Linked DNA regions of Arabidopsis thaliana. The protein of the gene in region 1 interacts with the protein of each later gene in a pairwise test. Each region holds a gene or a part of one and is shown on either strand. Other genes may lie near its edges. The genes, in order: MGP1 and TOC64-V.

Region 1 (5,345 bases):
AGTCTGAATCCAATTCACAGATTCTGAGTTATTAACAGCAACGACAACCAAGATATCAGTCTGATTCAGTTCCTGTGTCAGATTCATAGCTCTCTGATCATTTGAACTCACAATTTCATCATCAAAGACGAGCATTTCATATCCTTCATCAACCCATTTCAATCTTCTCGCCTGTTAATGTAAGAAGAAAAACGATACAGAAACCGAAATGTTTAGGAATTTGCAACAATTGTTAAGCGAGAGAGAAGACAATTACTTACAGTGTGGAGCATAACTTCTTCCCAAGAGGTGGATTTGAGTGGGCTTACTTCTCCTTTTCCGACGAGAGCAATCAATTTCACCGGAGGCTCAGGCTTCTCTATTTTCGTACTCTTCTCCGTCTCCAAAACGCGAACAACAGTGGTTCGTCCCCGTCTGGAGAACGATGCTTCATCTAAGGAAGGATGAAACTTCCGGATGAAATTAACCGGTTGATGAGTGACGAACCGGTTAAGGAAGGGAGAACACTCTCTCGTTCCAGGAAGAGAAGGAGCTTTGAGAGGAATCGCCGCCATGGCGAAGAAAACAGTTGTTAACGTCTCTCAGACAAACCCATTATAATTGTTCACAGACAAGCCACGTGTTCGATATGATTGGTTTAATTCATCTAGAATGTATGATACTCCAGATCCCATTTCGGTTAGATTTGGTTCGAATTTGGTCTACTAAATACAAAACTATAATAGTTTCTCGGGTTGATTTTGCTTGCCACGCTTTTGTTTCGAATTAACATCACAACTTTTATTAATTATCTCAAATTCCAGTGATCACCATTATCAAAAAAACATGAAACAACGTTTGTGTCTAAGAATCTCAAGCGTAATAACCACAGAGAGAGTTAGACTCAAATCCAGGTGAGAGACCTTATTGAACGCCAAACCAAAACAGCAGCAAGGGAACGATCTTCTCTTTCAAAGACAATCAAGTGAGAGATCTTTGCCTTTTCTTACAACAAATCAAATGTTTCTAAGGATCAAACCTTAGATGAAGTTACGGATGTCTAGAGACTTCACGTCCGGCATTTCCTCATCCTGGAATTCCTCCCTGAATAATCCGCAAGTTCCATCGCGTTATGACATGAGTAAGATCAATGATTGATAAATTGAGAAACAAAAAAAGTGAAAAGAAAACAAAACTCACTTCTTTTTCTGAGATTCCATAGCTTCAACAGCATCACTCTTCAGCTCATCCAACTGTGCTTTGGCCATGCTGAGCTCCAAATTTTCTTCGTACTTAGGAAGATCTTCTTTCCTAATCCCAAGCCTGTTTAGATTAATGAGACGCAAACATGCAATTCAATTAGCTATCAATATGTAAATCGATATACATATAAGTAGTAATGAGAATCATTTGTTCGTGTTTTGTATGGATGGTTGAAGAATGATGACGCACTTTTTGTTGCCTTTCTCAAACTCTGCAACCAAAAGATCCATTCCTTTCTTGTCACTTCTCAGGAGAGGCTTCTTTATGTCCTTCTCGACTTTCTCCAAAGCCTCGAACATCATGGCCTCAGCACCAAGCTCATCAGTAAGCCCCCTCCTGCAAGATATATCACAAGTGGGAGTATAACTAAAGACTGCTTCCAACAATTCTTCATATGTTGCAAACAATAGCAGATCAAAGAGGGAGATGAAAATATAGATAGTTAAATGCAGTCTTCAGATAACTGCTTAACGATCACATTCAAGATCTTACAGGAAGATAATTCCAATATTATAATAACATAAGAAGAGCAAGTTTACGGGTGAGGGAAAACTATCCTAAGATAACTGAAAATTATTCAAAGTCTAACAGCTACCTGGTGCGAATTTCCTGCAACTTCAACAAGTATGCACGAGCATCTGGAATGTCTTGAGTCTCAGTATCAATGTCATGTTTAATGCGCTGAGATTCTGAGAACATGTCTGCCCTGCATACCAAAAAAACGGATGACAAGCAACCAAATTAACAAGGTTAAAATAGCAGCATTGACACATATATTTAACTCGTTTCAGAAAAGTCGAAAAGTAAAACCAATCCCAACAAACAGAAATAGAGATCACGACATACAACATTCAAGCTAAATAACAAACACCTACAAAAGAGTAACAAGAGGCCTACTTTTGCCTGATGGTCTTCATTACATTTGCATACTGTTTTACGGCAGCTGGGTCCTCTGGATCAAGGGTGATCTTTTCCTTACGGAGAATATCAACAGCAGCCTGGAATTTGTTCTTGATATCAAAAAAGACACCCTTCAACATCTCTGTCAAAAAGTGTAAAACTTGAGTCAATAATAGTAAACAGCAATGCTTCTTCACTCTAAACACATAGTACAGATTTCAGCAACATATTAAACATAATCCATCATAAACTGGATACATATAAAACTCAACAAAAGAAGTAAGCAGAACAACAGTCCTAGCAATCATGGCCTGGGTTTCACAAGATTATATTACATTGACCAATATAGTTTTTCTACACATTCGACATAAAAAAAGTGACTTGACATATTCTTAAGTAGTCACGATGTTAAACTCAAAAGCACGAAGGGCTAAAGAAAGGAAAGCAACTGTTTTCAACTAGGTGTGTTATTGAAAACGTAATGTTCTATGCATAATAACAAATCCGAAGTATGAGTTTTGGTCACTAACCATCTCCTTTAAAGGTTGGACGAGCAGCTTCCTTAGCAAAAGCTCGGACTGGAATAGCATGTTGCTGCTGCAAAATGACCAGACCCCCCTGTAGCTGCGTAATGAGAGTAAGATAATAAAAATTATGGATCAATAACAAGTTTTGATGAAAAGAATACTTCTTGCAAATCATCTTATCATTTCGAACTGTATTAGAAATCAACAACGAGTAGAAAAAAACCCCATCAAATTTATCATTTGATTTCAACAAACTCTCCGATTGAGATCGTACGAAAGATAACAAAAATTCGACTACGATATTGAAATGGCACACCCTAAGATGTGATTCAGTGATAGAGATACAGTAAAATCGATAATCTCACTCTAACCATCGCATCGAAACACATAAAACCCAGAAATGGGAGGAAAACAAAAGGAATCAAACAGAACGAAGAAGAGAATCAGAAAAATCGAGGGAGAGAGAGTATATACCTGCTTAGATCTGGAGAGAAAACGAGAAGCGTACGCCATTTCCTTGATCGAATCGAGTCGCTGTGGAGTTGACGAAATTTAGGGTTTGTGGTGTCTTGTTGAGATCCTATCTGAGCGACGGAGCAGAACAAGTAACAGGCAAAGGCAGTAATTGTACACCGTTGATAGTAATCAACGGCTGAGATTTATTCCCAATACGGAATATCTGAAAATAATTTGATTTTATTTTTTACAATTACACTATGAAAATCTTAATTTTTCTATTTTTTTTTTTTAATACCTTTTTTCGATCGGTCAACTTTTCCATAATGGAAGTAACTAAGTGATTACAAGGAGAGTTCTTGATAAGTGTCAGCCAAGACATTGTCATTTCTACTAATAAGTTGAACCTATAGGAAATATTTGCCAAATGAGACAAGGTGAGGGATTACTCCAATGTCTAGTAGCGGTTTCAAGGTATTTATAAATAGTTGATAAATCTCCACAGAATATAACATGATCATCGAGGTCGGTCAAAACTATATGGATACCTAAAGCAAAAATAATTTGGTATATTAACATAAATAGTCAAAAAAAATTATAAGTAATAGATTCAACAATAATTAGAATCAAAACTGTGACTGATCATTGAAAACTGAAAAGGTTCGGACAGACCATTAGACCATTTATCTAAAGCTCTTATTATTACTGTTACCTAAAGCTTTTGTTTCATGGACTTTAGTCACGGACCGGTTTTGATGATCAAATTGCAACCATTTTAGTTGGAGGGTTGCTTCCTTTAAGACTAGAGCCTCTCCTTCTGCGACTGAAAAGGTGGTTCTTTTAACGTTTATCCTTTGAGAGCATACATCTTTTCTCCCATTTTTTGGTTTTCAATATGTTGAATCTATTCAATAGTGTTTAATCCACATATGATTTTTTACTTTTTCAACACTCTCATCGTATGTGTTCAACAGTTGAATAATTTATTCAACACTCTCATTACATATAGTCTTATTATCAAACTCATAGTTTGACATATCTCAGTCATCATAACTCACAACTCAGACATAGCAACCCTCAAACTCATGCTTGCGCATATTTTGGTCGTCGACCTTTAACCCCCCCCCCCCCCCCCCCAATTCCATCACTTATCTTCTCCTTATTCCCATGATCATGCAATATACATTACTAGCCATTTCGTTCCACCATTGCAGTCCATGTACTTTCGCCATTTTTACAGTTTAACAAATCATGTATTACTTTCCCGATTGAATATTTTTCTATAAACATTTGTCCCACTACATATGCCTCCTGATGATCTCCAAGTACTCTCTCTAGAAGAATCACATTCACTCATCTTTCCAAGCTCATCATATGTCTAATTGGGAATTGCTTCCGGACTTGGTACAAAACTGACCATGCTAGCTAGTTCATTAAGAATTTGTCCATGTATAAAGAACTTGATAGGAGGAATCAAGCCCATCAAGACAATACCATGAGTTAAGTTCGGTTTCCAACGTTTAAACCTACTTTTGCTACACCAAAAATTATGCAATCAACTTGTACATAATTGATTATCGGTGGATAAAAATAAGATATACATGTTGCAAAAAAAAAAAAGTAAGATTTTACTCTAAATGGATCAGAGAAACCACATCTTCAAAAGACTTGATAGAAATCCCATACTGAGAATGTTCAGTGAATGTCAATTGATTTTTGAGTCGGAAATTCACATAACGCTTAACAAAATTTACGTTTGAAAATGAGTTGCAACTAAAAGCGAAAGAGCAAAGTTGGTTGTTGTTTTTTGGTTTAAAAACAATGTTCACAAGAGATAACAAGAGTCTCTTTTATGACATCCAATACAAATATTATTGGTTAGAGTCAATAAAAAAGAGCACTAAGGAGAAATACAAAATTGGTTGAGCCTATAAAAGGGAGCATTAAGGAGAAGTAGTTGCGCAGAGGCGGAAAGACTCTACACCAAAATGTGTTTGTTTTTTAATGCCACACCTAAACGTTACGCTTTCAAAAAGAATAATCAAATGGAGTACTACTAATAGACATATATAGGTAGAACAAATCCAAGTGATTCGGTGATGGTACTATAAGTTATCTCAACGAAAAGGTTTACAAAAATTAAATAGAAATTAATTAATGCTTTACATGAATCAAAACACTCAGAAAGTAGTATGTATCAACTGTTTTTTGTCGTTAATA
Region 2 (6,638 bases), on another chromosome or scaffold:
ACTATAGGGAGGAAACTGTCGCTGTGCTTGTCTCTCTAGGTGCTGATGCTGGGGCATTAACGGATCCATCTCCAGAGCTTCCATTGGGTAAAACAGCAGCTGATTTGGCTTACGCAAATGGACACAGGGGAATTTCGGGATTTCTTGCAGAGTCTTCCTTAACTAGTTATCTTGAAAAGCTAACAGTGGACTCAAAGGAAAATAGCCCTGCCAACTCTTGTGGAGAAAAAGCTGTTCAAACAGTCTCTGAGCGAACCGCTGCTCCTATGACCTATGGCGATGTACCAGAGAAACTTTCCTTGAAGGATTCACTTACTGCTGTCCGTAATGCTACGCAAGCGGCTGATCGTCTCCATCAAGTATTCAGGATGCAATCATTCCAACGGAAACAGCTGTGTGATATTGGCGATGATGAAAAGATTGATATCTCCGACCAGTTAGCTGTTTCTTTTGCAGCTTCTAAAACTAAGAATCCAGGACAGGGTGATGTCTCTCTTAGTTGTGCTGCTACCCATATCCAGAAGAAATATCGTGGTTGGAAGAAGAGAAAAGAGTTTCTTTTAATCCGACAAAGAATCGTTAAAATTCAGGTTTGCCTTTCATTGAGTTTTTTTTTCTCCCCCTTATTTCTTTGCATAAGTCTTTTGTCTGGTTTCTCATTGCTGGAATCATATTACATTTACCTTTAGGCTCATGTGAGAGGACATCAGGTCCGGAAACAATACCGAACAGTCATCTGGTCTGTGGGATTACTCGAGAAAATCATTTTGCGTTGGAGACGCAAAGGTAATGGTTTGAGAGGGTTTAAACGCAATGCAGTCGCCAAAACCGTGGAACCGGAACCGCCTGTATCAGCTATATGTCCTAGGATCCCACAGGAAGATGAGTATGATTATCTTAAAGAGGGAAGAAAACAAACAGAGGAAAGGCTACAGAAGGCTCTGACTCGTGTTAAGTCGATGGTTCAATACCCAGAAGCACGGGATCAATACCGTAGACTCCTAACGGTTGTTGAGGGCTTCCGTGAAAATGAGGTACCCAAGACCCATAACATAATCAGTTAATCATATTTTGTTGAGCATTCTTGTGATAAATTGTTGTTGCAGGCTTCATCAAGTGCATCTATAAACAATAAAGAAGAAGAAGCAGTCAACTGTGAAGAAGACGATTTTATTGACATTGAGTCTCTTTTGAACGATGACACATTGATGATGTCTATTTCTCCTTGATTTTACTTTCTGACTCGTATTCATTTTTCCTTCTTTTACTTTCTAACTTTATTTCTTCTCTGTAAATACCATAGTTGATATTTACCGCTTAATTTATTACTTGGATTGAAATAGAATTATTCACTATTTTCTTTCGTCTTAACAATATATAACTTTTTTATTTGTTCATTTGGCTTTTCTCTGCTAATATTATATAGCCAAGTGTTGGATTACTCTGATTCATATTTGTATCCGTATTGAATATTCTTCTCTTTATTAGCTGTTTTCTGCAATTTATACATCATATTTGTTTTGGTCAAACTCATACATCAGTCATATTGTTATAGTTTAAATTTGAATGGTAGTATGATATTGAGCTAACTTTTAAAGGTTATAAATCCGGGTCGACATGCCATTTTATCTACCAAATTTGGATTGGTAAACCATTAAAGCTATAAAAAAAACTTAACTTGGATTTTCCTATAATCTGAAGATAAAATTGGATTGACGGGCAAGGCTACAGAAAATGGAAACTTAACAATAAATTATAGCAGTATATATTTTAATTTTTTCATTATTATATTGAGGTTTTTAGTGGCTTGACTAGCTTAAAATCTATTTTTCCACGAGTGGAAAAGTTCATTAAGAGAAGAAATGGCCAACAAAAGAAATTATAAACCTAAATCAATTTGTACAAGCTTATTAAAAAAAATTGAAACGAGTAATTCTAATAAATAAAGGAATTAAAATTAAAATTTCCATTTTTCTTAATTTAATTTTTTTTTTTAATTTCTTTATCGATTTCGTAAAGACAATTATTAATCAATCAAAAAGAGAAGATTCGCCTTGGGCAGACGGACTTGAGTTCACGGCTGGCCAAGTCATCACTCGTAATTAAAAGGGTTTAGACACAGTGCGCACGATAGCATCTGTGTTTGCTTCTTCCAAATCTCTCTCCTATTTTTCTTTCCCCTTTTCTCTCTTAAACCCTCCTAAAACCCTTGTCTCTCTCTCTCTCTCTCTCTCTTTCTCGTGAGATCGCGTTATGTCGAATACGCTTTCTTTGATTCAAAGCAATGCCTCGAATCCCAAAGTTTGGGTAGTGATCGGCGTGACGGTGGCCGGGATCGTGATTCTGGCGGAGACCCGGAAGCGGCGGATTAGAGCCCTTAGAGAAGAAGACTTTGGTGCTTTCTTAGATCGTTTCGAGCTTCTTCCTTTCCCTCCGCCTCCTCCTCCTGCTGCTAAACAATCTCTCTCTGGTCTTACCTTCTCCATCTCCGACGCGTATGTATCTCTCTCTCTCTCTCTCTCTCTCTCTCTCTTAAAAATCATAACCTATTTTCAAATTTGTTTTTTCCTGCTTTATATAATGATCTCGCTTATAAAGTTCAAAACTTTTGTTTGGTTTAATTGAGATTTTGACTTGCTTAGACGAAGTCATGTTGCAATGAAATGAATAAAGTTATATCGGGGTTAATGGTTTGACAGGTTCGATGTTAAGGATTATATCACAGGATTTGGTTGTCCACAATGGAAGAAGACTCATGAGGCTGCTGAGAAAACTGCTGTGGTTGTCACGACGCTCTTGAAAAATGGAGCTACTTGTGTTGGCAAGACTATAATGGATGAGCTGGGTTTTGGGTATCTCTCCACTCCTACCATTCTGCATATGAAATGACCTTTCGGTAGTTGGTTTGAAGAAAGTTTGTGTTTTGAATGTGATTTTACAGGATTATTGGAGAAAACAAGCACTATGGAACTCCTATTAATCCATTGATGCCAGATAATGTTCCTGGAGGATGTTCCAGTGGCTCAGCAGTTTCTGTTGGGGCTGAACTCGTTGACTTTTCACTTGGTATTGTTAATCTCTTCGTTTTCTCTTGGTAATGTGTTTCTTGGATTACGTTTGGTTCTTTATGCTAATCAAAAGATGCTTGATTTGCAGGGATTGATACCACTGGTGGTGTTAGAGTCCCAGCAGCCTTTTGTGGTATTCTTGGTTTTCGACCATCTCAGGGGACTGTTTCTTCAGTTGGAGTTTTGCCCAATTCTCAGAGCCTAGAGACTGTTGGTACGTTACATTCCCCTCCCTTTTAGTGTTTTTAGTGTAGTTTCAATGGTACATGCTACTCTAGGTGTTTGCCTTCCTGATTATTGAACTCATTGATTCGTTCTGTAGGATGGTTTGCCTCTGATCCATCCGTTTTGTGTCAAGTTGGACATGCCTTACTAAATCTGAGTGCAGTAACACATAGAAGGCAAAGATCTTTAATCTTTGCTGATGATTTATTCGAGCTCTCTGACATTCCTAAGCAAAAGTCGGTGCAAGTTGTCAGAAAGGCAATCGAGAATCTATCTGGCTGTAAGTTTGCAGCTGTATTGTTTCCTTCTCTTTGCCCTTCTCCAGATTCATATCTTATGTCTCTTGACCACTGGCTCATGCAGACAAGACTCCAAAACATGTTAACGTTGGCCAATATGTCGCTTCAAATGTACCAAGTCTTGCGGAATTCTGTGAGCAATCTGGGAAATCCCAAAATTCAGCATCAACTTTAAGGGCTCTTTCATCTGTGATGTTGGCTATACAAAGGTATTTAAGAAGCTCACACTTCTTGAAATTTTCACTGCATCAATACTTTTTTCTCTCTCTCGTTCCTTTTAAACGGGTGCAATAAAAGATTGTTGTTATTCCCTCTTTGCTGGAGGTTACTATTTTCTTCTTAAGTTGTATTATATGCAAATATCGAAGAAGAAAGGATTTTCTTTTTACCAGGCATGAGTTCAAAACAAATCATGAAGAATGGTGGCAAACATGCAAATCGTTTCTAGGGCCAAGATTTTCCAATGATGTTGTTACAGCTCTGAAGAGCAAAAACGAGAGCATTAAATCCCTCTACAGAGTGAAAAATGAGATGCGGGCCACCATTCAAAGCCTTTTAAAGGTAAACTCGATTTTTGGAAATTTAAAATTTTCACAGCCATTAGTGTCTTGAGGACATTTTGCCACCAAAACACTGAAGTCTGAAGAGATTGAATTATTAACTTTCATTTTTGCGGCTTCTTTTTAGTTCTATGGTATTATGATTAACCATAGATCGGTATCTTATTACTAGGAAGATGGAATTCTGGTAATCCCCACAGTTGCTGATCCCCCTCCAAGGCTTAACACAAAGAGAAATAAATCTTTGAATGAGTTTCTTGATCGTACTTATGCACTCTCCTGCATTGCAAGCATGTCTGGATGTTGTCAGGTATATTTCCATCTCCTCTTTCTCATTCAATGGTTGGGGAACATTCTTGTTGCCTTTTCCTTACTCTTCAGTCTTTAGTCATGACACAAATATATACATATTCTTCAGGTTACAATTCCTTTAGGGGAACATGGTGATCGTCCAATATCCGTGTCGCTTCTTACTTACTATGGAGGTGATAAGTTCCTTCTCGATACAACTCTCGATGTATATGCATCCCTTCAAGACCAAGCCAAACTTGCATCCAACTTAGCTCCAGTGTCTGACACCAATGGTAACATGGAGGCTTCTGAAGTTATGAAAGAAAAGGTAAAACTATCTCTTTGAGTTTGACAAATAGTATATTTGGTTCTGATCCATGATATGCTACTGGAGTTGGAATGTTCTCAAAGTTAACAGTGGATAAAATGTAATTCCAGGGCAATGCTGCATACAAGGGGAAACAATGGAATAAGGCGGTAAACTTTTATACAGAAGCTATAAAATTGAATGGAGCAAATGCTACTTATTATTGCAATAGAGCTGCAGCTTTCTTGGAACTTTGCTGGTAATTGTTCTCTTCATATCTTTCATTCTGATCTGAATATAATTTATTATGATTTTCTGATCTGAGAGTTTGTTTATAGCTTCCAACAAGCCGAACAAGATTGTACCAAGGCCATGTTGATCGATAAGAAGGTGAAAACTTGATTAGCTGCCTTATTTCTCCATCCCTCGTAGTTTGTTTTGTTACATTGTGTTTTTAACATGGTTTTGTGTTTAAGTACACTTGAGCTGGAACAAAACTATTCACTTTTTATTTATTTGATTTGCGGCGTAATACCTTTGTACTATGACTATCTAGTTTCATTATCACTCAGATCACTCACTATAGACACAATGACGCATTATTTGGAAGCTTTGATTCTTATAATAGTTATTTGTTTCTACAGAATGTGAAGGCATATTTGAGACGAGGGACTGCTAGAGAATCACTTGTACGGTACAAGGAAGCTGCTGCAGGTATGATGATTAAACTACTCTGAGATTGTAATTTTATCACATTGGAGAAACTTGTTAAAAGATAAAATTCATCTAGCTATCCAGATGAGTTACTCTCTCTAGTAGGGTATTGGAGCGTAACATTATGGTTGATCATCTCTGCAGATTTCAGGCACGCATTGGTCCTTGAACCACAGAACAAGACGGCAAAGGTTGCTGAGAAGAGACTCCGAAAACACATATGAGTTAAAAAGGATTATTACTCGATTTCTCTTGTTCACCAATCTATCTTTTCACTTATCTAAAACCCTAAAAAGGAAAGGTTTTGCTCCGGTTTCAACAGACTAATAATTTAGTGGTTTTGTGACATGTGTACAGATTGGGATGAAAACTTCTACCTCTAATTACTTGATCTGAAAAGTTTTATGGGGTCCTTTTAGCTTCTTTGTTTTCTTAACGGTCTTTTACGTAAATTACAATTTCCCCCAAGTCCAATACTGTAATTCCTTAAATTACACGGAGGGACCCATAAATGACACGTTTACAATCAATTTCTCGACAAATAACTGAATTCGTTGTTTGTTTTTTTCCTCTTCGTCATCGTCACGCCTCCGTATCTTCTCCTCTGTTTCATTTTTGAATTATTCGAATCAAAAATGTTTGATCATATGAAACTGCTGCGATGCTTCAGCTTCACGGCGTCGCGAGATTGGTTATTCCGGCAATCATTCGCAAACGCCGGTCTACGTTCCGTAACGACAGATCTCTCCCACGGCAATTCAATCGCATCAACAGCTATGCATTGTTGGATTCCTAAATCCCCGAATCGATCTAAACCTAATCTCCTCCTCCTCCACGGATTCGGCGCCAACGCAATGTGGCAATACGGAGAACATCTCCGAGCTTTCACCGGCCGATTCAACGTCTACGTTCCCGATCTCCTCTTCTTCGGGTTATCATCCACATCGGAACCAAACCGAACCGAATCTTTCCAGGCTCGGTGTCTGATGAGGTTAATGGAAGCGCACGGAGTCCAGAGGATGAACATCGTCGGGATTAGTTACGGTGGATTCGTTGGGTATAGTTTAGCGGCGCAGTTTCCGGAGAACGTTGAGAAGCTTGTGCTGTGCTGCGCAGGGGTTTGTTTGGAGGAGAAAGATATGGAGGACGGATTGTTTAAGGTGCCGAATCTAGA

What was found.
Region 2: the proteins of MGP1 (region 1) and TOC64-V interact in a two-hybrid assay, tested with the Arabidopsis thaliana proteins (one study listed by BioGRID).

What each region holds. Positions count from the first base shown.
Region 1 is NC_003071.7:9,319,437-9,324,781, forward strand, and holds MGP1 (MALE GAMETOPHYTE DEFECTIVE 1), read right to left. Parts: upstream 3,432-5,345; 5' UTR 3,183-3,431; coding exon 3,144-3,182; intron 2,767-3,143; coding exon 2,673-2,766; intron 2,285-2,672; coding exon 2,140-2,284; intron 1,949-2,139; coding exon 1,838-1,948; intron 1,579-1,837; coding exon 1,432-1,578; intron 1,303-1,431; coding exon 1,180-1,302; coding exon of another isoform or gene 1,176-1,179; intron 1,084-1,175; coding exon 1,020-1,083; 3' UTR 754-1,019; downstream 1-753. Other genes in the region: AT2G21860 (violaxanthin de-epoxidase-like protein), read right to left, coding at 1-171, 261-554. UniProt on the Arabidopsis thaliana protein: Mitochondrial membrane ATP synthase (F(1)F(0) ATP synthase or Complex V) produces ATP from ADP in the presence of a proton gradient across the membrane which is generated by electron transport complexes of the respiratory chain.
Region 2 is NC_003076.8:2,926,063-2,932,700, forward strand, and holds TOC64-V (translocon at the outer membrane of chloroplasts 64-V), read left to right. Parts: upstream 1-2,110; 5' UTR 2,111-2,253; coding exon 2,254-2,495; intron 2,496-2,699; coding exon 2,700-2,852; intron 2,853-2,941; coding exon 2,942-3,066; intron 3,067-3,156; coding exon 3,157-3,282; intron 3,283-3,390; coding exon 3,391-3,573; intron 3,574-3,656; coding exon 3,657-3,801; intron 3,802-3,984; coding exon 3,985-4,153; intron 4,154-4,324; coding exon 4,325-4,462; intron 4,463-4,570; coding exon 4,571-4,771; intron 4,772-4,881; coding exon 4,882-5,009; intron 5,010-5,088; coding exon 5,089-5,140; intron 5,141-5,394; coding exon 5,395-5,464; intron 5,465-5,608; coding exon 5,609-5,688; 3' UTR 5,689-5,959; downstream 5,960-6,638. Other genes in the region: EICBP.B (ethylene induced calmodulin binding protein), read left to right, coding at 8-590, 690-1,034, 1,107-1,229; AT5G09430 (alpha/beta-Hydrolases superfamily protein), read left to right, coding at 6,100-6,638. UniProt on the Arabidopsis thaliana protein: Chaperone receptor mediating Hsp90-dependent protein targeting to mitochondria.